Linked DNA regions of Macaca fascicularis. The protein of the gene in region 1 interacts with the protein of each later gene in a pairwise test. Links are inferred from orthologs where the notes say so. Each region holds a gene or a part of one and is shown in the gene's direction. Other genes may lie near its edges.

Evidence for each region. The genes of interacting proteins can lie anywhere in the genome.
Region 2: the proteins of SGTA (region 1) and F11R interact in binary tests that used the Homo sapiens proteins (3 or more experiments, as listed by UniProt). The two-hybrid records come from large-scale screens. The link is inferred for Macaca fascicularis from reciprocal best matches to the Homo sapiens genes SGTA and F11R.
Region 3: the proteins of SGTA (region 1) and SPP1 interact in binary tests that used the Homo sapiens proteins (3 or more experiments, as listed by UniProt). The link is inferred for Macaca fascicularis from reciprocal best matches to the Homo sapiens genes SGTA and SPP1.

The regions. Positions count from the first base shown.
Region 1 is NC_088393.1:3,461,795-3,469,775, reverse strand, and holds the start of SGTA (small glutamine-rich tetratricopeptide repeat-containing protein alpha), read left to right. Parts: upstream 1-3,175; 5' UTR 3,176-3,216; intron 3,217-7,981. Other genes in the region: THOP1 (thimet oligopeptidase), read right to left, coding at 770-785. UniProt on the Homo sapiens protein: Co-chaperone that binds misfolded and hydrophobic patches-containing client proteins in the cytosol. Mediates their targeting to the endoplasmic reticulum but also regulates their sorting to the proteasome when targeting fails.
Region 2 is NC_088375.1:100,070,675-100,077,957, forward strand, and holds part of F11R (junctional adhesion molecule A), read left to right. Parts: intron 1-1,486; exon of another isoform or gene 1,487-1,592; intron 1,593-2,399; coding exon 2,400-2,468; intron 2,469-2,638; coding exon 2,639-2,746; intron 2,747-2,988; coding exon 2,989-3,135; intron 3,136-3,416; coding exon 3,417-3,619; intron 3,620-3,787; coding exon 3,788-3,890; intron 3,891-4,018; coding exon 4,019-4,126; intron 4,127-4,363; coding exon 4,364-4,376; coding exon of another isoform or gene 4,377-4,380; exon of another isoform or gene 4,381-4,681; coding exon 4,682-4,730; intron 4,731-4,866; coding exon 4,867-4,902; 3' UTR 4,903-7,283. UniProt on the Homo sapiens protein: Seems to play a role in epithelial tight junction formation. Appears early in primordial forms of cell junctions and recruits PARD3.
Region 3 is NC_088379.1:93,532,931-93,539,294, forward strand, and holds part of SPP1 (osteopontin), read left to right. Parts: intron 1-24; 5' UTR 25-38; coding exon 39-92; intron 93-201; coding exon 202-240; intron 241-3,204; coding exon 3,205-3,285; intron 3,286-3,551; coding exon 3,552-3,593; intron 3,594-4,631; coding exon 4,632-4,955; intron 4,956-5,672; coding exon 5,673-6,077; 3' UTR 6,078-6,364. UniProt on the Homo sapiens protein: Major non-collagenous bone protein that binds tightly to hydroxyapatite. Appears to form an integral part of the mineralized matrix. Probably important to cell-matrix interaction.

The DNA.
Region 1 (7,981 bases):
CATCTCTACAAAAATTAGCCAAGCGTGGTGGTGCAGGTCTGTAGTCCCAGCCACTCAGGAGGCTGAGGCAGGAGGATTGCTTGAGCCCAGGAGTTCCAGGCTGCAGGGAGTCGTGATCGCACCACTGCACTCCAGCCTGGGCCCCAAAGTAAATAAATAACACAATAAACAGGTCCCCTCTTTACGTTCCAGCCAAACTGACTTTCTGCTCTCCAAACACGTTCCCTCCTCCCGGGACGCCTCCTTCCCCGGTGCTGGCAGGACACCTGCTTCTCCCAATCAAGCAAGTCAAGGCTCACCTCTTCAGAAAAGCCCCCCAGGACCAACCTCTCTCTGGGAATGCCCCGTTCGTGTTTATTTGCTCCCTGGGACTGCCCTGTTCGTGTTTATTTACTCCAGAGCACCGATCCCTCCCTATCTTCGATCCTCTCTTGCTTATTTACTTGTTGAATGTCTGTCTCTGGCTCTAGAATTCCGGGAAAACGGGGACCGGAGTCCTCAAATCACGGCCTCCCGAGGGTTCGCCACGGGGCCCGACCCATCCGGAAGGGAAGCGCCATCAACTTTGCAGAATGAATGAAGCGCTGGAAAAGCTGGTTCGTTCATTCTGCAAACGAGAGAGCGGGGTCGCCCACCTCCCCCGCTGCCCCTCCAGCCCGGCCGAGGGTGGCTCGGGGACCACTCCGCTCCAGCCTTAGGCCCAAGTCGCGACCCCGGGAGGAGTGAGGGTGCAGGGGAGCCCGGGTCCGGCGAGCGGGGTAGTCGGTACCTGCGGGGGGCTTCATGGCGGGTGGGTCTGCGCCTGCGGCTCCCTCCCTCCTTCCACCTGCTACGCGTCCAGCCACCTCGGCCACTGAGGCCGCCTCTCTCGGCCCAACCGCCGCCACCGCCGCCACGGCCGCCTGAAGACCAAGCGACCCGCCGCCTGCGCACCCGGGGCATGCTGGGGCGGCGCGTGCACAGGGAGGGCAGGACGCACGCGTGCCCAAGCCCCGCCCACACCTAAAGGAGGCGGGCCGAGACGCTGGAGCTCTCTGCGCATGCGCTCAACCCTCCCAGTCCGTCATTGGTCTCGGGGTTGCGTGGGCGGAGCCTCTTGCGGTACCCCTCCAGAGCCGCTGCGGTGGCTAGAAAGGACGGTTTCCTTGGAAACCGCACGCCGCTGACGCCTCTCAGCCTCTGTCTGAGCGGTTCTTTCCGCGGAAACTTCGCCTGGGCTTCAGGCTACCGTGTTATTGTGTGCTTGCCTCCCTTCTTATAGCTGTGTGTTGGGCCAGTGTTATTATCGATCGCTAACTGTATCCCAGGCCCACTTTCCAGCATCTGAATCAGACGAATCAATTACATTAACCAGAAGTTTTGGTGTTTGGTTGTTTTTGAGACGGAGTCTCGCTCTGTCGCCCAGGCTGGAGTGCAGTGGCAGCAATCTCGGCTCACTGCAACCTCCGCCTCCCGGGTTCAAGCAATTCTCCTGCCTCAGCCTCTCGAGTAGCTGGGACTACAGGCGCGAGCCGCCACGCTCGGCTAATTTTCGTATTTTTAGTAGAGACAGGGTTTCACCATGTTGGCCAGGATGGTCTTAATCTCTTGACCTCGTGATCCGCCCGCCTCGGCCGCCCAAAGTGCTGGGATTACAGGTGTGAGCCACCGCGCCCGGCCAAGGTTTATTTTTTGTCAGAAACATAAGCAAGTAAACTGATTCATGTCAAATAACAGGTGTTTTGGAACAGTGCAGTAACCTGACCTACATCCAGTGTTGTGGGTTGAAACAAAAAACATCTGGAACCGTCTGTCTTGAACTGTTATGGCACCCAGAAAAAACAATGTACTACAATTAAACTGGCAAAAACGAAGCAACCGACCTCCTTTCCTTTTATGTTTTTTGTTTTTGTTTCGTTTTGTTTTGGAGGGACTGGACGGAGTCTCACTCTGTCGCCCAGGCTGGAGTACCATGGCGCGATCTCGGCTCACTGCAACCTCTGCCTCTCGGGTTCAAGCGATTCTCCTGCCTCAACCTCCCGAGTAGCTGGGACTACAGATGCCCGCACCACGCCCGGCTAGTTTTTGTATTTTTAGTAGAGACAGGTTTTCAGCATGTTGGCCAGGCTGGTCTCGAACTTCTGACCTCAAGTGATCTGCCCCTTGGCCTCCCAAAGTGCTGGGATTACAGGTGTCAGCCACCGCGCCCGGTCTCACCTTCTTTATTTCTGCAAAAGAAATTAAAATAATCCACGCCATTAATCGTGCATGTATTTCGAGTAGGACAACAATGAATTGGGAGAACATTTCTGTCAATTATAACTCAGATGGTGATCAGTTTTCTGTCGTCCTTGGAAATTTCTCATCTCTCATCTCTATTTTTTTTTCCATATGTCTTGAGCACACCAAGCTTTTACATTGGCCTTCATTTTTGCTGTTCCCTGTGCCTGGGGTCCGTTTGGACTTTTTCCTATCCTTGAAATCCAAATCTAAAGGATGATCTTTCCTACCCATACCATACAACTTAGCTCCCGGTGGCAATCACACCACCTTCATTTTTTTTGTAGTGTTAGCTGTGAAATTTCTTGTTTATCTACTTATGTACTAGTTTATTAGTTTATAGTTCGTCTACCCCAATGCAAAATAATGACAGTAGACACTTTGCTGGTTTTTATGACTGGTTTGCAATAAATATGGAATATTAGGCACCTGCTGCCTACTAATGTTTCTATTCTCACAAGCGTCTCATAAATTGACTGCATGAAAGAATGCATTTGTGGGTGAGTAGATGGGTGGGTGAATAAATGAACAAAGATAGCGAGCGGACAACACTGACTCCCATTCATTGCGGGGCTATGACGCTCTGGAGTCCAGGTGGCCAAACGCGGCTGCACCACGTGGCCGGCCCAGCACCACGTGGTCAGCTCGGCGACCGGCTGGAGTCAGCCACTGTTCCACCGTGCACCGCTTCGTTCCCGCCCTAGAGGGCAAACCAGCCCCGACTTCCGGCCTCCATTAGGTCGTAGAGGTCAGTTGCCCTAACGACCAGCTGGTTCCCGCCTCTACGTTGCGTCACTTCCTTCCACGCCCACCTCGATCATTAACGCGCCTGTGCAGAAGGGAAGCAACCCGGGGAGCCCTTCTTCTGCGCAGGCGTCGCGCCCGGGGGCCGGGGCCGGGCGGCTCCGCGGTGCGCAAGCGCAACCGTCGGTGGGTCGGGGATCGGTCGCCTGAGAGGTGAGTGAGGGGCACTGTGCTGAGCCTGGCGGGTGTGGGGTCTGCGACTCGGGGCTCACGGGGCCCCAGAGCCCGTAAGAGGTTGGGGATCGTGAGGCCAGGGTCAGCGCGACCCGCGGGGTCCTGTGAGTAGGCGGAGCGGAGGGGAAACTGAGGCCGGGCGGCATCGGCAGGCCCTTCGAGCCCTGATCTCCCTTCCCCGGGCCCCAGGTCCTGGAAATGCTGGTCCGCGGACTGGTGGCGAGGACGGCTGGAGGGGAAGGCGCCCCGCATGTACTGAGCGCTCGCTGGGTGTTCGCTGCCGTTCCGCTCTTACTAACTGCCTGGAAAAGTCGTCCCTGTGACTCGGGGACCCCCGTTTGTGGGGACTCAAGTCGGGGCTCTGGTCCCAGCGTCGCCAGTCCCTACCTGGGTGACCTTGCCCAGCCTCTTGGCTTCTCGGAGCCTCAGTTTTCCCGTCTGTAAAACGGGCGTTGTCAGAAGTCCCTGCCTGGGAGAATGAGAGCCGCCGCAGGGTCCAGCGGAATCTGAGAACTCCAAAGAATTAGCAGCCGTTCGTCTTATTTCATGTTTAGAGTCTTCTTCTGCATATCGTGCTAGAGGTGGGGGAAATCTGGGATTCAGAACCAGCCCACCACCACCACCCACCCGCTGTGTAAACCTGGATGAGTTGCCTTCCCTCTCTGAGCAAACCTTCTTTTTCGTAAACGAGTTGTAAAAGCAGATGTCTGGGAGGGTCATTATGAGGATAAGCCCACATTCAATGATTTGATCAGGTGCCTGGAACTTGATAAGAGAGAGCTGGCTTGAGAACAGCTGTTTTTGTTATTAGGTGGCAGAAAATTGCAGTGCAATGTGCCTCTCAGAGGTTGGATCATTGTCCCGTTTACTTTTGCTTCTGTCTCTGATTATTCGTTCTCTCTGCCTTTTCCCTCCCTTGACCAGTGTGGTTCTCAACCAGGAACAATTCTGTGCCCCAGAGATTCTTGGTGACATTTGTGCTTTTCACGATTCAGGGGACCCCCTGGTTTGGAGTCGGTGGAGGCCAGGGTTGCTGCTCAGCACCCTGCAGTGCCCAGGACGGCCCCACCCCAGAAAACGATCCAACTTTGAATGTCAATAACGCTTTAAAAACCACACCCTACCATACGGGTGGATCACCTGAGGTCAGGAGTTCGAGACCAGCCTGACCAATGTGGTGAAACCCCGTCTCTCTTGAAAATACAAAACTTAGCTGGGCATGGTGGCGTGCGCCTGTAATCCCAGCTACTCAGGAGGCTGAGGCAGAAGAATCCCTTGAACCCAGGAGGCAGAGGTTACAGAGACCCAAGATCACGCCACTGCACTCCAGCCTGGGTGACAGAGCGAGACCCTGTCAAAAAAAACCAAAAAACAAAAAAAACCTACCCTAGATCAGTGATTCTTCCCCAGCATGGGCAGCTGGGAGTGTGTGGGCCCGGGAAATGGTATACAAAGTTTTGTGTGTGCACCCAATTTTGTGTGGCGAGAAGTGGGCACTTTGGAGTTTAGCTTCTCAAGTGAGGCTGCCTGGGTTCAGAACGCCTCATTTGCATCCTCCTAGCTGGGTGGTCTTGGGTGGTTCCCATCTTTCCAAGCCTCAGTTTTTCTTCTGTGGAATGGGGATTATAAAAGTAACCACCTCAGGTGTGTGAGGATTCAACCGGGCAAGGTATCAGCTAACCAGAAGGCCAAATCCACCTCTGGCCTGTTTTTGGGAATGAAGGTTTGTGGGAACACAGCCACACTCCTTGGTTTGCATGTTACCTGTGGTTGGTTTCGAGCTAAGAAGACACAGTTGAACAGTTGCCGTAGGGACCTTAGCGCCTGCCGAGCTGAAGACAGTCTGGCCCTTTTCAGAAAAACCTCTGCTGACCCCTAAAATAAGCTATCGCATGTACAGCACTTAGCTGGGTGCCTGGAAAGCTGTAAGCGCGCCAAGGATTTGAGCTGAGGTTTATAATTAAATCTTCCTAGAAGGGTGAATGATTCCAAATGGGGGTGAGCTCTGCCCCAGATTGGACGGATCCTTGAGAGCGGCAGTCTTACTCAATTCTATGGTTGTTTTTTTGCCAAGACCCAACAGTGGCCCTGGTAGGAAGTGCTCGGTACAGGCCGAAGGCATAAAAGGGGTGGTTTGAGATAAGGTCTTGCTCTGTCGCCCAGGCTGGAGTGTAGTGGCGCAATCTCCGCTCACTGCAGCCTCGACCTCCCGGGCTCAGGCCCTCCCACCTCAGCCTCCTGAGTAGCTGGGACTACAGGTGTGCACTACCACACCCGGCTAATTTTAGTATTTTGTTGTTTTAGAGATAGGGTTTCACCGTGTTACCCAGGCTGGTCTCAAACTCCTGGGTTCAAGCGATCCTCCACCTTGGCCTCCAGAGTTCTGTGATTACAGGCGTGCCTCACTGCACCTGGCCCGTTTTCTCTTTTACTGAGGTGGAAACAGAAACCCAGAGAGAAATGGCCTCCCCATTTCAAGGAACTTGACCACGTGTCTGTGAATTTTTCAACCATCGAAGGCTTTCCTGAGTCCATAGGGTTTAGACGCTGCCAGATGCTGGCGTTCAAAGGGAAGCTGGGTCTGTCAAGAGGTAGAAAGCCTTGTAAGAGATGCTGGGCCAGAGATGGAGTTTGCAGGAATACTAGATTCTCTCCTAGAGTTGGGCAGGAGAGGTGAGCACTTGAGTTTGAGTGGCACGTACAGGGTTTGGTGTAGGCCCCACAGACGACCCCCAGCTGGTGGGGGGGCCTCCTATGCACACTCCTGGGGTTCCAGGGAGCACTTGAGGGCTTTTATGTGTACAGTGACCTCCTGGTGGCATTTTAGAAGAAAGTGGACTTCGATGTGGGGAGTGGGCAGGGGACTGAGCTAGAACTCGGGTGTCCTGAGAGGGAGTGAGGAGCAGGGCACCTGGCTTTCCTGCCCTGCTGTTGGTGAGAAGCAACGTGGATTTGGGATGGAGGCGGGCAGAGTGCTCACAGAAGGCGGTGGGCAAGAGCGGGCGCTTCCTACTGGAGTGTAAGGAGGTAAGATGGCCTCAGTTTACGAGGATATTCTGTTTTTTTCCATTGAATGATCCATTCTGGGCAGGGAAATAAGGAAGAGAGGTGGTTGTGAGTTTTTTGTCTGGTTTTAGAGACAGGGTCTCACTTTGTCACCCGGGCTGGAGTGCAGAGCCCAGTCACAGCTCACTGCAGCCTCCAACTCCTGGGCTCAAAACGATCTTCTCGCCTCAGCCTCTCAAGCAGCTGGGACTACTGATGTGTGCCGCCACGTCAGGCTAATTTTTTTTTTTTTTGGTGGAGTCTCTTTTGTAGGGTCTCACTGTACACTGTATAATAGCCCAAACTGGTCTCGAACACCTGGACTCGAGCGATTCTCTCGCCTCGGCCTCCCAAAGTGCTGGGATTACAGGCGTGAGCCCCCGCCCCTGACCGAGGGGGCCGTGGTTTGATTTTGTTTTCATTTTAATGATAAAATGAAAAGGTGGGATGTGGAGTCCTCGGCTCAGAGCCGAAAGGGACACTGAAGGCCCCTACGCGGGAGCTGGCGCCACCCCCACGGGCCAGCACTCCTCCCACCCTCACTTGTGCGGCCTCTGCCTTGAGACCAGGCCTCGGCCATGGCTCCTGCGCACCCATAAAGCCGTCGCTGTTGGGAGACACAGCAGGCCTTCTCTGAGAATGCTGTCCCGCAGCCAAACCCTCCAAGTTGTGGTTGTCCCAGAGACAGCGAGTGCCAAACGGCAGTTGAGGAACATGCGTCCTCATGCCTGCTGGACCTCCCTCCGAAGAGCAGAAAACTTTCTGACGGGAGAGCCCGGCTGCTGAAGCAGATTTGAGAACCGTTTGATGATGTCCCCCACCTTGGGGATGGCAGAGAAGCCACAGGTCCTAGCACCCCCGGCCTGTGTCACGTGCAGGGCGGGGCCGTGCTTACCGTAGGTGAGCTGTCCTCCACCACGGACCGCAGTTCTGACACCCAGAATACCCTGCAAACAGAAGGTTTTCAGAAAGTTCACAGCAAAGTCATCTGGCCAGAAAAAGCTGACCCGTGCTGACTTCCAGCCTTTCTTCTTCCCACTTAGTGGCCGCCATGATTTACAGCTGGGGGCGGTTTGGCAGCGTCTGGGGACGTGTGTGGTCGTCTCAGCCGGAGAGTGTTTCAGGCGTGCATGGGGGGGAGCCAGGGGTGCCGCTCAGCTGCCTGCCATGCGCAGGACAGAATCATCCACCCAAGATGCCCACGGTGCCAGGGGGGAGACACCTGCGTTAATTATTTGGGAAAAAATTGAGCCTGCTCCCTGCTCACACAGACACCAGAATAAACTTCCAGCGGGGCAGAGGGTGGGAATCGAGGTCCCCAGGTCCTCGGGTTCGCCGCCTCGCTCCCTCTCCGTGTAGCGTGTAGATTTATCTTTTGTTGTTTTGTTAGAGACAGGGTCTCACTTTGTCGCCCAAGTTGCTCTCGAACTCCTGGGCTCAAGCAACCCTCCACAGTTTGTGAATTTCAATGGGTGCAGCCTCCTGGGCCTTGGTAGAGCAAACAATCACGGGACACAGAGTCTCCTGGGGATCAGTGGCATCCCCTGGCCCAGGGAGTCTAAGCTGGGACACTTCTGCTCAGCTGTGCCCCAGGCTAACGGGGAGGGGGCAGGGTAGAGACCACGAGGCCAAGAGGTTCTCTGGGCCGTGGAGGGTGTTCCAGGAGAGAAAAGAGCACGTGCAAAGGCCCTGGGGTACA
Region 2 (7,283 bases), on another chromosome or scaffold:
CTATAATCCCAGTGTTTGAGAAGCTGAGGAGAATCACTTGAACCTGGGAGGCAGAGGCTGCAGTGAGCTGAGATAGCGCCATTGCACTCCAGCCTGGGCAACAGGAGTGAAACTCCGTCTTAGAAAAAAAAAAAAAAGTATAATAAGAGAAAAAAAAGGATATAGGAGTAACCTATATCTTGAGTCTCTTATCTATAAAGTGGGAGAGAGAATACTTATCTGGACTAATTCATAGTGTTATTTTTTTTAAAAATAAAGTTGTTTTATTTATTTATTTATTTATTTATTTATTTATTTATTTGAGACAGAGTCTGGCTCTGTCGCCCAGGCTGGAGTGCAGTGGTGTGATCTCGACTCACTGCAAGCTCTGCCTCCTGGGTTCACACCATTCTCTTGCCTCAGCCTCCTGAGTAGCTGGAACCACAGGTGCCCACCACCACGCTCGGCTAATTTTTTGTATTTTTTTTGGTAGAGATGGGGTTTCACCGTGTTAGCCAGGATGGTCTCGATCTCCTGACCTCGTGATCCACCTGCCTCGGGCTCCCAAAGTGCTGGGATTACAGGCGTGAACCACTGCATCCGGCCCATAGTATTATTATGTCAGATTGAAATACATGTATACAGACATTGTCTAAACATCAATGCCAAAATTAAAAAGGAACCTAAAGGACTTTAGAGCACATCTGTTTCATATTTCAGAGAGGAAGGGGAATCTCAGAGGTCAAGAGACCATATTCAGTTATGTGCATAATTAAGTAAAGGAAAAATGTACTTGAATTCAACAAATGTGTTTGAATTCTACATTTATCTAAGACAGGGTCCTGACTTGAAGCTATGAATAAAAGGATATTTCATGAATTTGACTTTGAAAACGTGAATGAGAATAATTGTGTAAGTGCAGGTTTGTAGCTGCACCGTGTGGTCCCAGAATCCCTGGTCACTGCTTCTTTTTTTTTTTTTTTTTTTTTTTTTGAGACAGAGTCTCGCTCTGTCACCCAGGCTGGAGTGCAGTGGCCGGATCTCAGCTCACTACAAGCTCTGCCTCCCAGGTTTACGCCATTCTCCTGCCTCAGCCTCCCAAATAGCTGGGACTACAGGCGCCCGCCACCTCGCCCGGCTAGTTTTTTGTATTTTTAGTAGAGACGGGGTTTCACCGTGTTAGCCAGGCTGGTCTCGATCTCCTGACCTCGTGATCCGCCTGTCTCGGCCTCCCAAAGTGCTGGGATTACAGGCTTGAGCCACCGTGCCCGGCCGTCACTGCTGCTTAATTTGACCTTTGTGGGTCCCTCCCGTGAACCCTGATGCATCTCCCCCATATTACTTAATTAGCCTCTTTGCTCCTCCCTCCCTCCACCCAGCACACACTACCTTTTCTTTGTCCGTCTGTCGAGTAGAATATTCTAGTGAGGTGATCTGAACCCACTTCTAGTGCCAGCTTCACCTTAGAACCAGTTGTGTGATTTTTTTTTTTTTTTTTTTTTTTTAGATTGAGTCTCGCTGTGTTGCCCAGGCTGGAGGGCAGTGGCACGATCTCGGCTCACTGCAACCTCTGCCTCCCTGGTTCAAGCGATTCTTCTGCCTCAGCCTCCCAAGTAACGGACTACAGGCGTGCCACCACGCCCGGCTAATTTTTGTATTATTGGTAGAGACGGGGGTTTCACCATATTGGCCAGGCTGGTCTCGAACTCCTGACCTCATAACCTGCCCACCTCGGCCTCCCAAAGTGCTGGGTTTACAGGCCTGAGCCACCGGGCCTGGCCCCAGCTGTATGACATTAGGCACATTTACTTCTTGTACTCTTAATTCCTCATGTAAACACGGGATAATAATACACGCCTTGCCAATCTGTCATGCTTGTTTCCAGGATCAAATGATGCAGCGTGTCATAATGTATGCAAAAACACTTTAAAAAGCACCACATGCTCCACAAATGTCGAGTATTATTATTATCCTCATTATGGCTCTGCCCTTCCCTTCCATCCCTTGCCTCCAGCCCTGCTGGCTTCCTTCCAGGATTGTCTTGACAAGTGGCTGCAATCATTTGTTGAGAAGCTTTCTCTGAATGGTGAAATGTCATTCTGGAAGCTGCCCTTGGACTAGTAGAAATCTAATTAGATTATTGGGAGTCACAGGGAGAAAAATTAGAAGCAAAAGAAGCTGCATTTGAGAGATTTCCATTGATAAAAGAAGTATTAGCCTGCAATTGTAGCAAAAAGCACTTAAAGAAGACATTTAGGATCATGGTGACAAAGTGTGAGAGTCAGGAGGAGCATGAGTCTGGAATCCCTTCCGCTTAGGGTCTGTGAGTGGAGAAGCCCTGTCTGCTGGGTCTGTGCCTCCCTCTTCCTGGCATTTCTCTGCTCACTCCTGACAGGGCCCACCTCTTTCTTTCTCCTCAGGCTCCCTGGCATTGGGCAGTGTTACAGTGCACTCTTCTGAACCTGAAGTCAGAATTCCTGAGAATAATCGTGAGTTGGGAGGGGCTGTGGAGGGTGGCTCTCGAGGGTGTGAGGGTGAGTAGTTGCCGGCCGTCTGGGGACCTAGAGAGCACCCAGCCCAGCCTGCAGTTTAGGGCTGTTCCCCATCTCGTGTATTTGCTGCTGATTCCTCCTCTGGCTCATTTTGACCCTGTCTGCAGCTGTGAAGTTGTCCTGTGCCTACTCGGGCTTTTCTTCTCCCCGTGTGGAGTGGAAGTTTGACCAAGGAGACACCACCAAACTCGTCTGCTATAATAACAAGATCACAGGTGAGTTGCTTCTCCTCCTTCCTGATTGCCTAGGTTGTGGAGGGGTTATCATGCCTGGATTCTACGATCCAGGCTTTGTGCCCTTATCCCAGGGCATACCCTGGGGCTCAAGTCCTCATGGCCTTCCCACTCCCCTTTCTGGGGGAAGAGGAGAGCACTTGCGTACCTTGGATGCCCCCTTCATCAGCTTCCCTTAGCTCTCCAGTTCACTCTGTCCTCGCCCTTGCCTCCTCTTGTGGTAGCTTCCTATGAGGACCGAGTGACCTTCTTGCCAAGTGGTATCACCTTCAAGTCTGTGACACGGGAGGACACCGGGACATATACTTGTATGGTCTCTGAGGAAGGCGGCAACAACTATGGGGAGGTCAAGGTCAAGCTCATCGTGCTTGGTATGTGCCACATATCTTCTGGGTGGGCCTGGAGTTAGTTACTTCCCATAGCAGGCTCTGCTGAGCTTTGGAGCTCTTTGATGGTGAGAATGCCCACAGGTGGGGCTATTCAGAGTCCTGGAGCTGCCAGAGAGGGGATAAGCCCTGGTTAGGTGGCAACCAGGGGCATGGTGAGGGTGGGAGGCTTGAGCTGAGTAGATGGGGGTACCATTCTAGTTGGTTACTTAGACTCAAGCAGCCCCCACCCTGTACTCAGCACCTTCTGTCTTTCTCTTCCACAGTGCCTCCATCCAAGCCTACAGTTAGCATCCCCTCCTCTGCCACCATTGGGAACCGGGCAGTGCTGACATGCTCAGAAAAAGATGGTTCCCCACCTTCTGAATACACCTGGTTCAAAGATGGGATTGTGATGCCTACGAATCCCAAGAGTACCCGTGCCTTCAGCAACTCTTCCTATGTCCTGAATCCCACAACAGGAGAGCTGGTATGGATGGGGTGGTGGTGAAAGATGTGTGGGGCATGCAGTTATAGAACCCCAAAAAGTGGGAGGAAGAACAGGCAGCAGGGTGAACTTGGGTTTGGCGTCAGGAGACATTAAAAAATGGCTATTTTGCTTCTTCAAGCAGGAAGCCAATTTGTTTTCCTCCCTCAGGTCTTTGATCCCCTGTCAGCCTCTGATACTGGAGAATATAGCTGTGAGGCACGGAATGGGTATGGGACACCCATGACATCAAATGCTGTGCGCATGGAAGCTGGTGAGAGTTAGGGCTTGAGCCCAGACCTGGGGTGGGGATCGGCGTCTGCTTTTCATCCTGCCATTGGTGATCCTGTTGGTACCGTGAGTGAGTATCCTGGTGCTTGACTTCTCATTTGTGTCTCACAGTGGAGCGGAATGTGGGGGTCATCGTGGCAGCTGTCCTTGTAACCCTGATTCTCCTGGGAATCTTGATTTTTGGCATCTGGTTTGCCTATAGCCGAGGCCACTTTGACAGTAAGTATCTGCCCCCAGAGGCTCTCCTTTGTACTGCCCCCATCCCAGGGCCTGGCATGGGTGTCATCTGAGTACTGACCCTGATACTGTGCTCATGTGTGTGGGTGTTGTCCCCTGGGGAACACTGATCACCCATCGAACACACACCTTGGGAAGATGAGGCCTGCCCCTCCATCTTCCCAAGCCATGCTGTCTTCTGTCCTGCTGTCACTCATGATCCCATTTCTTCTCTTTCAGGAACAAAGAAAGGGTGAGTGAGGTGCTGTCCTGGGGTTCTCCAAGTTTGAGAGCAGGGATGCATGCCGTTTGAAGCTGAAGTGGGCCCGGGGGAATGGGTTGAAGGCAGAAGCAACCAGTTTGGAGGGAAGGCATCTGGATATCCAGCCCTTTCTCTGTGCCCTCGGCCCTGGGCCTGTCCTGTTTCCCCCCACCCATGCCTTTCTGCTGCGCACTCTGTGCTTCTGTAGCATTCTCGGTTCTGGCCTTTAAAGTTGGCAAGGAGAGGTAATAAGCACCTAGGTGGCTGAGTGTCTCTGTCTTCTGGCTTGTTCACAGGACTTCGAGTAAGAAGGTGATTTACAGCCAGCCTAGTGCTCGAAGTGAAGTGAGTATGCCTGCCCTGGGCAGGGGTGGGCTACCTGGGGCTGGAGTGAGGAGATTTCTAGCCCATGTTTATGTGTTTTGGGGATTATCAGCTAAAGAAGACTATTGAGAGTTGACCGGATGTTTTATTTCTGCAGGGGGAATTCAAACAGACCTCGTCATTCCTGGTGTGAGCCTGGTCGGGCTCACCGCCTGTCATCTGCACTTGCCTCACTCAGGTGCTACCGGACTCTGGCCCCTGATGTCTGTAGTTTCACAGGATGCCTTATTTGTCTTCTACACCCCACACGGCCCCCTACTTCTTAGGATGTGTTTTTAATAATGTCAACTATGTGCCCCTTCCTCCTTCATTCTCTCCCTTCCTTTCCTACCACTGCTGAGTGGCCTGGAACTTGTTTAAAGTGTTTATTCCCCATTTCTATGAGGGATCAGGTAGGAATCCTGGGTATGCCATTGACTTCCCTTCTAAACAGACAGCAAAAATGGTGGGGCTCCCAGGAATCTGCTCTCAACTGCCCACCTGGCCGGCAGGGATCTTTAAATAGGGATCTTGAGCTTGGTTCTGGGCTCTTTCCTTGTGTACCGAGGACCGGGGCCAGCTGTTCTAGAGTAGGGATTAGAGGCTAGAGCAGCTGAAATGGTTGTTTGGTGATGACACTGGGGTCCTTCCATCTCTGGGGCCCACTCTGTTCTGTCTTCCCATGGGAAGTCCCTCTGCCCTGTCCTCCTCTTGAATACAAGCCGCCTGACATTGACTGTGTCTGTGGAAAATGGGAGCTCTTGTTGTGGAGAGCATAGTAAATTTTCAGAGAACGTGAAGTGAAAAATATTTAAAACCACTGCTCTAAAGAAAAGAAAACTGGAGGCTGGGCGTGGTGGCTCACGCCTATAATCCCAGAGGCCGAGGCAGGTGGATCATCTGGGGTCAGGAGTTCAAAATCAGTCTAACCAACATGGAGAAACCCTACTAAAAATACAAAATGAGCCAGGCATGGTGGTACATGCCTGTAATCCCAGCTGCTCGGGAGCCTGGTAACAAAAGCGAAACTCTATCTCAAAAAAAAAAAAAGGGAAAGAGAATAGAAAAGAAAGCTGGAGCTGGTGGCTCAGGCCATCACCCTTCCCTTGGCTGGAACTATTGGACAGACCCTTTTGAGATGTGCTCGTGGTGCTATGGAGATGTGTGTAGTGGTCTTAGCTCTTTGTTGAGCCTGTGTGTGTGTTGTGCGGTCTTAGCTGTATGCTGAAATTGGGCGTGTGTTGGAGGGCTTCTTAGCTCTTTGGTTAGATTGTATTTCTGTGTGTTTCTATCAGCTGGATGTTGCTGGAAATAAAACCTTGGTTTGTCAAGGCTCTTTTTGTGGGAAGTAAGCAGGGGAAAAAGTCTTTGAGGGTTCCTGGGCTCCTTTGTACAACAGGAAAATGCCTCCAAGCCTTGCTTCCCAGCAACCTGGGGCTGGTTCCCAGTGCCTGGTCCTGCCCCTTCCGGGTTCTTATCTCAAGGCAGAGCTTCTGAATTTCAGGCCCTCATTCCAGAGCCCTCTTGTGGCCAGGCCTTCCTTTGCTGGAGGAAGGTACTCAGGGTGAAGCTGATGCTGTACTTGGGGGATCTCCTTGGCCTGTTCCACCAAGTGAGAGGAGAAAGTACTTACTCTTGTACCTCCTGTCCAGCCAGGTACATTAACAGACCTCCCTATGGCTGTAGGAACTACTGTCCCAGAGCTGAGGCGGGGGGATTTCTCAGGTCATTTGGAGAACAAGTGCTTTAGTAGTAAAGTAGTAACTGCTACTATATTTAGTGGGGTGGAGTTCAGAAGAAATTTGAAGACCAGATCATGGGTGGTCTGCATGTGAATAAACGCGAATGAGCAGGACAGGCCTGGCTATCATTGCTTTCCTCCTCCCCATTTGGACCCTTTGCCCTTACATTTTTGTTTCTGCATCTACCACCATCCCACCAGTCTATTAACTTAGCAAGAGGACAAATAAAGGGCCCTCTTGGCTTGATTTTGCTTCTTTCTTTCTGTGGAGGATATACTGAGTGCCACTTTGCCCTATCCTATTTGGAAATCCCTAACAACTGAGTTTTCTATTAAGGATCCAAAAAGAAAAACAAAATGCTAATGAAGCCATTGGTTAAGGGTCACATGCCAATAAAAAATAAATTTTCCAGAAGAAATGAAATCCAACTAGACAAAGTAGAGCTTATGAAATGGTTCAGTAAGGATGATTTTTTTTTTTTTTTTTTTTTTTAAGACGGAGTCTCACTCTGTCACCCAGGCTGGAGTGCAGTGGTGTGATCACCCATCTTCCAGGTTCAAGCCATTCTCCTGCCTCAGTCTCCTGAGTAGCTGAGACTACAGGCGCATGCCACCATGCCTGGCTAATTTTTGTATTTTTAGTAGAGACAGGGTTTCACCATGTTGGTCCAGCTGGTCTCAAACTCCTGACCTCTTGATCTACCTGCCTCGGCCTCCCAAAGTGGTGGGATTACAGGTGTGAGCCACCGTGCATAGCCAAGGATGAGATTTTTAAAGTATGTTTCAGTTCTGTG
Region 3 (6,364 bases), on another chromosome or scaffold:
TATTCCTTATGAAATGTTTTGCAGGAAAACTCACTACCATGAGAATTGCAGTGATTTCCTTTTGCCTCTTAGGCATCGCCTATGCCCTGCCAGTGAGTACAACTGAATCTTAAAGAAAATTCCTGAAAATAACTGAATTATGTGCTTCTATGTGCTAGGAGGACATTCTTGTAATCTTTCTTCATCTTTTCTGTTTCAAAGGTTAAACAGGCTGATTCTGGAAGTTCTGAGGAAAAGCAGGTAAGCATCTTTTAGGTTTATTACATAGTGAAATCATTTACTCAATTACAGCGAGAGGCGCAACAAACATATTTGCTGCAAGATTACTTATCTTCTCAGTCAAATCTATTGGTTTACAAGTATTTATTGACTGCCTGCTATGAATCTAGGCCAGTACCAAGCACAGTATAGTTTTTAATAAATATAAGTTTGTAAAACCAACCCAGATATTTTAAATATAATAATGTCTAGGCCAGTATAGCATGTAAGATAGAGTTATACGAAGCTGTGTGACTTTTTTTCCATTAGTCCACATATTGATCTAAAAGCAGAAAATTCCAGCTTTTGCTTTATTTAGTGGATTGCTAAGTTTAAAATTCACATCAGATATTAGTCAGAACTGTTTGTATGACCATAATATTCACAATATCGTCTGAGATATTAGCTGAGAAGCCCATTGTGAAAAGAAAGTCTATGTGTGCTGTTTGTATCTATTGTGATTGTCAGCTGATGTTAGATCACATTTTCCAACCAAACATAAGACCAACCAAACTCTTTATTATAATTATTTGACCAGCACTAAAGATGTACCTACCCCTCCACAACAGATGAAACCGTGCCAACCAAACAACAAATGGGCATTGTCCCCAGCAGCTTGGACAAAAAGGCACACAGAGTTCAATTCCAGTTGAACAGAATAAAGGCCAAAATAAGAGTTGCCTTGGGGGTCACTGCAATTAGATTTCTTAATGAAGACATTAAAAGAAGTATTCTGTGTGTGTTTGTGTGTGGGGGTGTGTGTGTCTGTTTTCCAACTGATTTGAAAACACAGATGTTGACTCCTAATAATAAAGCAGAAAAATTAACATCTCCAGAGAAGATAGAGGTCATACTATTTCAGGCAAGAATTAGTGCCTTTTTAATAAATGAAAACATGGCAAAGATGCATTTTAGAAGGCACGTGGAGTCATAACAATTTAAGAAATCTAGAAGGCTCAAGGCCCAGCCTTCTAGAATCCCAGAAACTTAAAGCTAGTAAAAAATTGGGGAAGTCTCTAAGGATATATGCCTGAAAATACACACTGGTTATCTGTGAGTGTTAGGATTACTGGGTGGTTTTTAGTCTATTCATTTTGCTTACCTTTATTTTTTTCACATTAGGTTTTAAAAATTATAAATTTAATTTATAAATCCATTCTCTCCAAGCCTGTATTACATGTGTCATGAGAATAGATAGATAGATATGAAAAAGTGAAGAGAAAAACTCTGAACGCATCTAGTCCCATTGTTTCTGCATCTTCTTTTTTTTTTCTGGGACAGAGTCTCGCTCTGTCACTCTGTCGCCCAGGCTGGAGTGCAGTGGCGCAATCTCAGCTCACTATAAACTCCACCTCCTGGGTTCACGCCATTCTCCTGCCTCAGCCTCCCGAGTAGCCGGGACTACAGGTGCCCGCCACCACGTCCAGCTAATTTTTTATATTTTTAGTAGAGACGGGGTTTCACCTTGTTAGCCAGGATGGTCTCGATCTCCTGACCTTGTGATCCGCCGGCCTCAGCCTCCCAAAGTGCTGGGATTACAGGCGTGAGCCACCGCGCCCAGCTGTTTTTGCATCTTCTTAAAGCAAGGAACCCCTTCTTTCAGCAAAACCTTTCAGAGAAGCCCAGTATGAAGCCCCTCTGGTTAGAGCCAGCCATGAGAGAAACTCTAGTACTTCTGACTGGTTTTCTCTCTACCCATCTACCCCTTAGGTGGCTGCAGAAGGGACTCTGTACAACCCCCAGAGTTATTCTGAATGACAGGGACATGTAATGATTGGCCCTGAATGATTCAGCAGATCAGATGACACTTACACAGAGCAATTTCCACTCCTCTGCAGTAGCATATTATCAGTATTTTCCAGATAAATAACTTGGCTAAAGAAAAATCCATTTCATTTACATCTTTGGCACCTTAGAGCTATAGAACTTTTGTGCAATGATTTTAATATTATATTTCTGCATTGTCTGGTAAGATAGCTGCCAGATACATATGGCTATGGAGTACTCAAAATGTAGCCTAGTGCAACTGAGGAACTGAATTTTTATCTTATTTCTTCGTTTTTTTTTCTTTTGAGATGGAGTCTCGCTCTGTCGCCCAGGCTGGAGTGCAGTGGCACGATCTCGGCTCACTGCAAGATCTGCCACCTGGGTTTACGCCATTCTCCTGCCTCAGCCTCCCGAGTAGCTGAGACTACAGGTGCCGGCCACCATGCCCGGCTAATTTTTTTTTTTTTTTTTTTTTTTTGGTATTTTTAGTAGAAAGGGGGTTTCACTGTGTTAGCCAGGATGGTCTCGATCTCCTGACCTCATTATCTGCCTGCCTCAGCCTCCCAAGATTTCAGGCGTGAGCCACTGTGCCCGGCCATTTCATTTTAATTAACTTAAATGTAAATAGCCCCATGTGGTTAGAGTATACTGTATTAGACAGCACAGCCTTAGAGAGTTCCTTCTTGTTCCATGGACTGGACACAGTGAAGATCAACAGTAATTAAAGGCACGTCTGGTTTAGATGTGCTTTATCTGAGAGGAAAATTCAGCCAGCAAACATACAAAAAGAAAGCATAGTGTGAAGTTCAGGGTTAAGAGCTAGTTTGCCTGCGTTTGAATCCTGCCTGGCTCTGCCATTTCCTACCACTTAACTGCATTGTGGCTGATTGTAAGGTGGGAATATTAATGATACCCATCTCATAGGGGAATGAGAGGATCAAATGAGTTCATATTTGTAAAGCATTTTGAAAGAGTGCCTAGCCCACACTAAGTGCTACATAAGAGTGTATTAAATGAATCTGCAAGAAAAAAAAAATTACAAAAAGGTACCTAAGGGTCTGAGTGACTATATGCATGCATATTATGCTTATCCATCAAGACTGGTGAAGAATGGTTGTTTCTTCCATTCATCCCTACGTTTCTTTTTTTAATAATGATAAACATGCAACTTTTTTATAGCTTTACAACAAATACCCAGATGCTGTGGCCACATGGTTAAAGCCTGACCCATCTCAGAAGCAGAATCTCCTAGCCCCACAGGTATTTTTAAACTTCTCATAATTCAACTACAACGATGAAAGATAGCTACAAGCAGGCCATTTGGGCTGCTCAGATGAATCCTGCCTGCCCGCCGGCAAGCATGTGCTTAGGACATTGACTGATCTGCCATGTTGGCTTCTTCCCGTGTTAAGCCATCCACAGATGAGGCAGAAAAATAAAAACTGCTTTGGATTAAAAAGGTTAACTTTTGAATAAAAAAGCTAGGTATGTGTGATGCACACTAACATGTGCCATTCCTTCTTCAGAATGCTGTGTCTTCCGAAGAAACCAATGACTTTAAACAAGAGGTAAGTTCTCATTTTCAATCAGAGGCCCATCATACCTTGAAGAAACGAAAGAAGCCATTGCCTGGATTCTCTTCTGATGAAATTTCATTAGCTAATTTTCCAGTAAATTGGCAGTCTTTAAAACTTGCTCAGAAAGAAAACATGTATTTACTAAATATCAGAAATACTAGGTTTCCTCAGATATGTTTAGCATTACAGAAAATGTTCATTAATGCCTGTTATTTGAAACATTAAGCTGATTGCAATTTATTTAAGGTATTTTGTAGATATCAAATATCTAATAAGCATCTAATTAATGCCTATCAAAGCTAAGATTTTGCCTTTAGGAAAGTTCTCTTTCCTAAAAAAATAGTTTATTTGACAACTATTCTTTTTATTAGGATCATTCATATATTTGCTAAGCAAAGAGTAAATTTATTTTCCTTAAGATTCAATTTGAATATACTAAGAATATTAAATCAAGTTAAATTACCCAATATATTTGTCAATCTGAAATTTAATGGACATTAATTGTTTAATTCAAGGACAGTTTTGAGCTGCAGTTTATACACACATGCATAACAGTCACCTTTCAATTATCCATGCTAATAGGAAAGGGGTTATAGATTTTAGTACACACATTAAAATAGGGATACTCTTCTCTTTTGATAAATCTCATTTCAAATTTTAAAAAGTCTCATAATTATGTGTCTGTAACTATTACATCATTGAATTTAGTAAATTAAATAATGTTTAATATGTATAAGGCAAAACAATGCTATTGATATGAAGATTATACTCACATATTTGGCTTGAAAATATCTATGAAAATAATTTTTGTTGGAAAGTAGGAAAAGTTCCTCAGAATGTTATTAATCCCTGTGTTAAAAGAGAAATTGGAAGATGCTCACTTTAGCTCCTAAAAGCCATGGTATATACTGTGAATGCAAAGATTCTGAAACTAAATAAAAAGAAAGATAGTAAAAGACTAATGTGCTATGAAGACTAAGGGAAAATAAAAACCCACACACTAATTTTCCTGGCCATTTTAATTTTCAGACCCTTCCAAGTAAGTCTAACGAAAGCCATGACCACATGGATGATGTGGATGATGAAGATGATGATGACCATGTGGACAGCCAGGACTCCATCGACTCGAATGACTCTGATGAAGTAGATGACACTGATGATTCTCACCAGTCTGATGAGTCTCACCATTCTGATGAATCCGATGAACTGGTTACTGATTTTCCCACAGACCTGCCAGCAACTGAAGTTTTCACTCCAGTTGTCCCCACAGTAGACATATATGATGGCCGAGGTGATAGTGTGGCTTATGGACTGAGGTCAAAATCTAAGAAGTTCCGCAGACCTGACATCCAGGTAAATCCTTTAACAGACACACCTGATAGTTCTGACTAGAGCTCAAGTCTAGGAAACCACAGTTTGCATATTCATTCATTCATTCATTCATTCATTCATTCATCCATTCATCCATTCATTCATCCATTCAGCAAGAATTCATTCATATTCTACTTTATGATCATTGAATACAAATCTTTTTCTGCTCGGTGGTTTTTGTAAGTACATAATTTCTCTCTAGATTTGATTCTCAAACACAATTCTACTTTTTGAAATCCTGGATCACTTATTTTTAGATTAAAATGAATGGAAAACACCAATTATTTAAAAAAAATATAATGGTCATGTTTCGAAGTTAAATACCTAAGAGGAGTTGTAGTTGCAAATTACACTGAATCCTTAGTCACAGAACCTGGATTTGACATAGGCTTGCCATTTACTATTCTCTTTATTTTTTAACTTCCAATTCACTTCCTCTTTATGTAGGTTTCAATATAATGAAACCTACCTGATAAGTTTCATTACATATGTAAGTGATGTACTTATTAAACTAAAGGAGACGACATATGTGAAACGGCTTGGTAAAGTACTATACAAAGTAACATGCTAGTATAATTTCAGCCAGATTTAGCCAATTTTTAGTATAAGATGGCCTAAAAGCTAGAGAGCAGAAAAGGATTACCGTATTCCCATCCCTAGCTGTTCATATAATTCTTCTTCATTTGTGCCATGATTCAGTACCCTGATGCTACAGACGAGGACATCACCTCACATGTGGAAAGCGAGGAGTTGAATGGTGCATACAAGGCCATCCCAGTTGTCCAGGGCCTGAACGTGCCTTCTGATTGGGACAGCCGTGGGAAGGACAGTCATGAAATGAGTCAGCTGGATGACCACAGTGCTGAAACCCACAGCCACAAGCACTCCAGATTATATAAGCGGAAAGCCAGTGATGACAGCAATGAGCATTCCGATGTGATTGACAGTCAGGAACGTTCCAAAATCAGCCATGAATTCCACAGCCATGAATTTCACAGCCATGAAGACATGCTGGTTGTAGACCCTAAAAGTAAGGAAGAAGATAAACACCTGAAATTTCGCATTTCTCATGAATTAGATAGTGCATCTTCTGAGGTCAATTAAAAGGAGAAAAAAATATAATTTCTCACTTTGCTTTTAGTCAAAAGAAAAAATGCTTTATAGCAAAATGAAAGAGAACATGAAATGCTTCTTTCTCAGTTTATTGGTTGAATGTGTACCTATGTGAATCTGGAAATAACTAATGTGTTTGATAATTAGTTTAGTTCGTGGCTTCATGGAAACTCCCTGTAAACTAAAAGCTTCAGGGTTATGTCTATGTTCATTCTATAGAAGAAATGCAAACTATCACTGTATTTTAATATTTGTTATTCTTTCATGAATAGAAATTT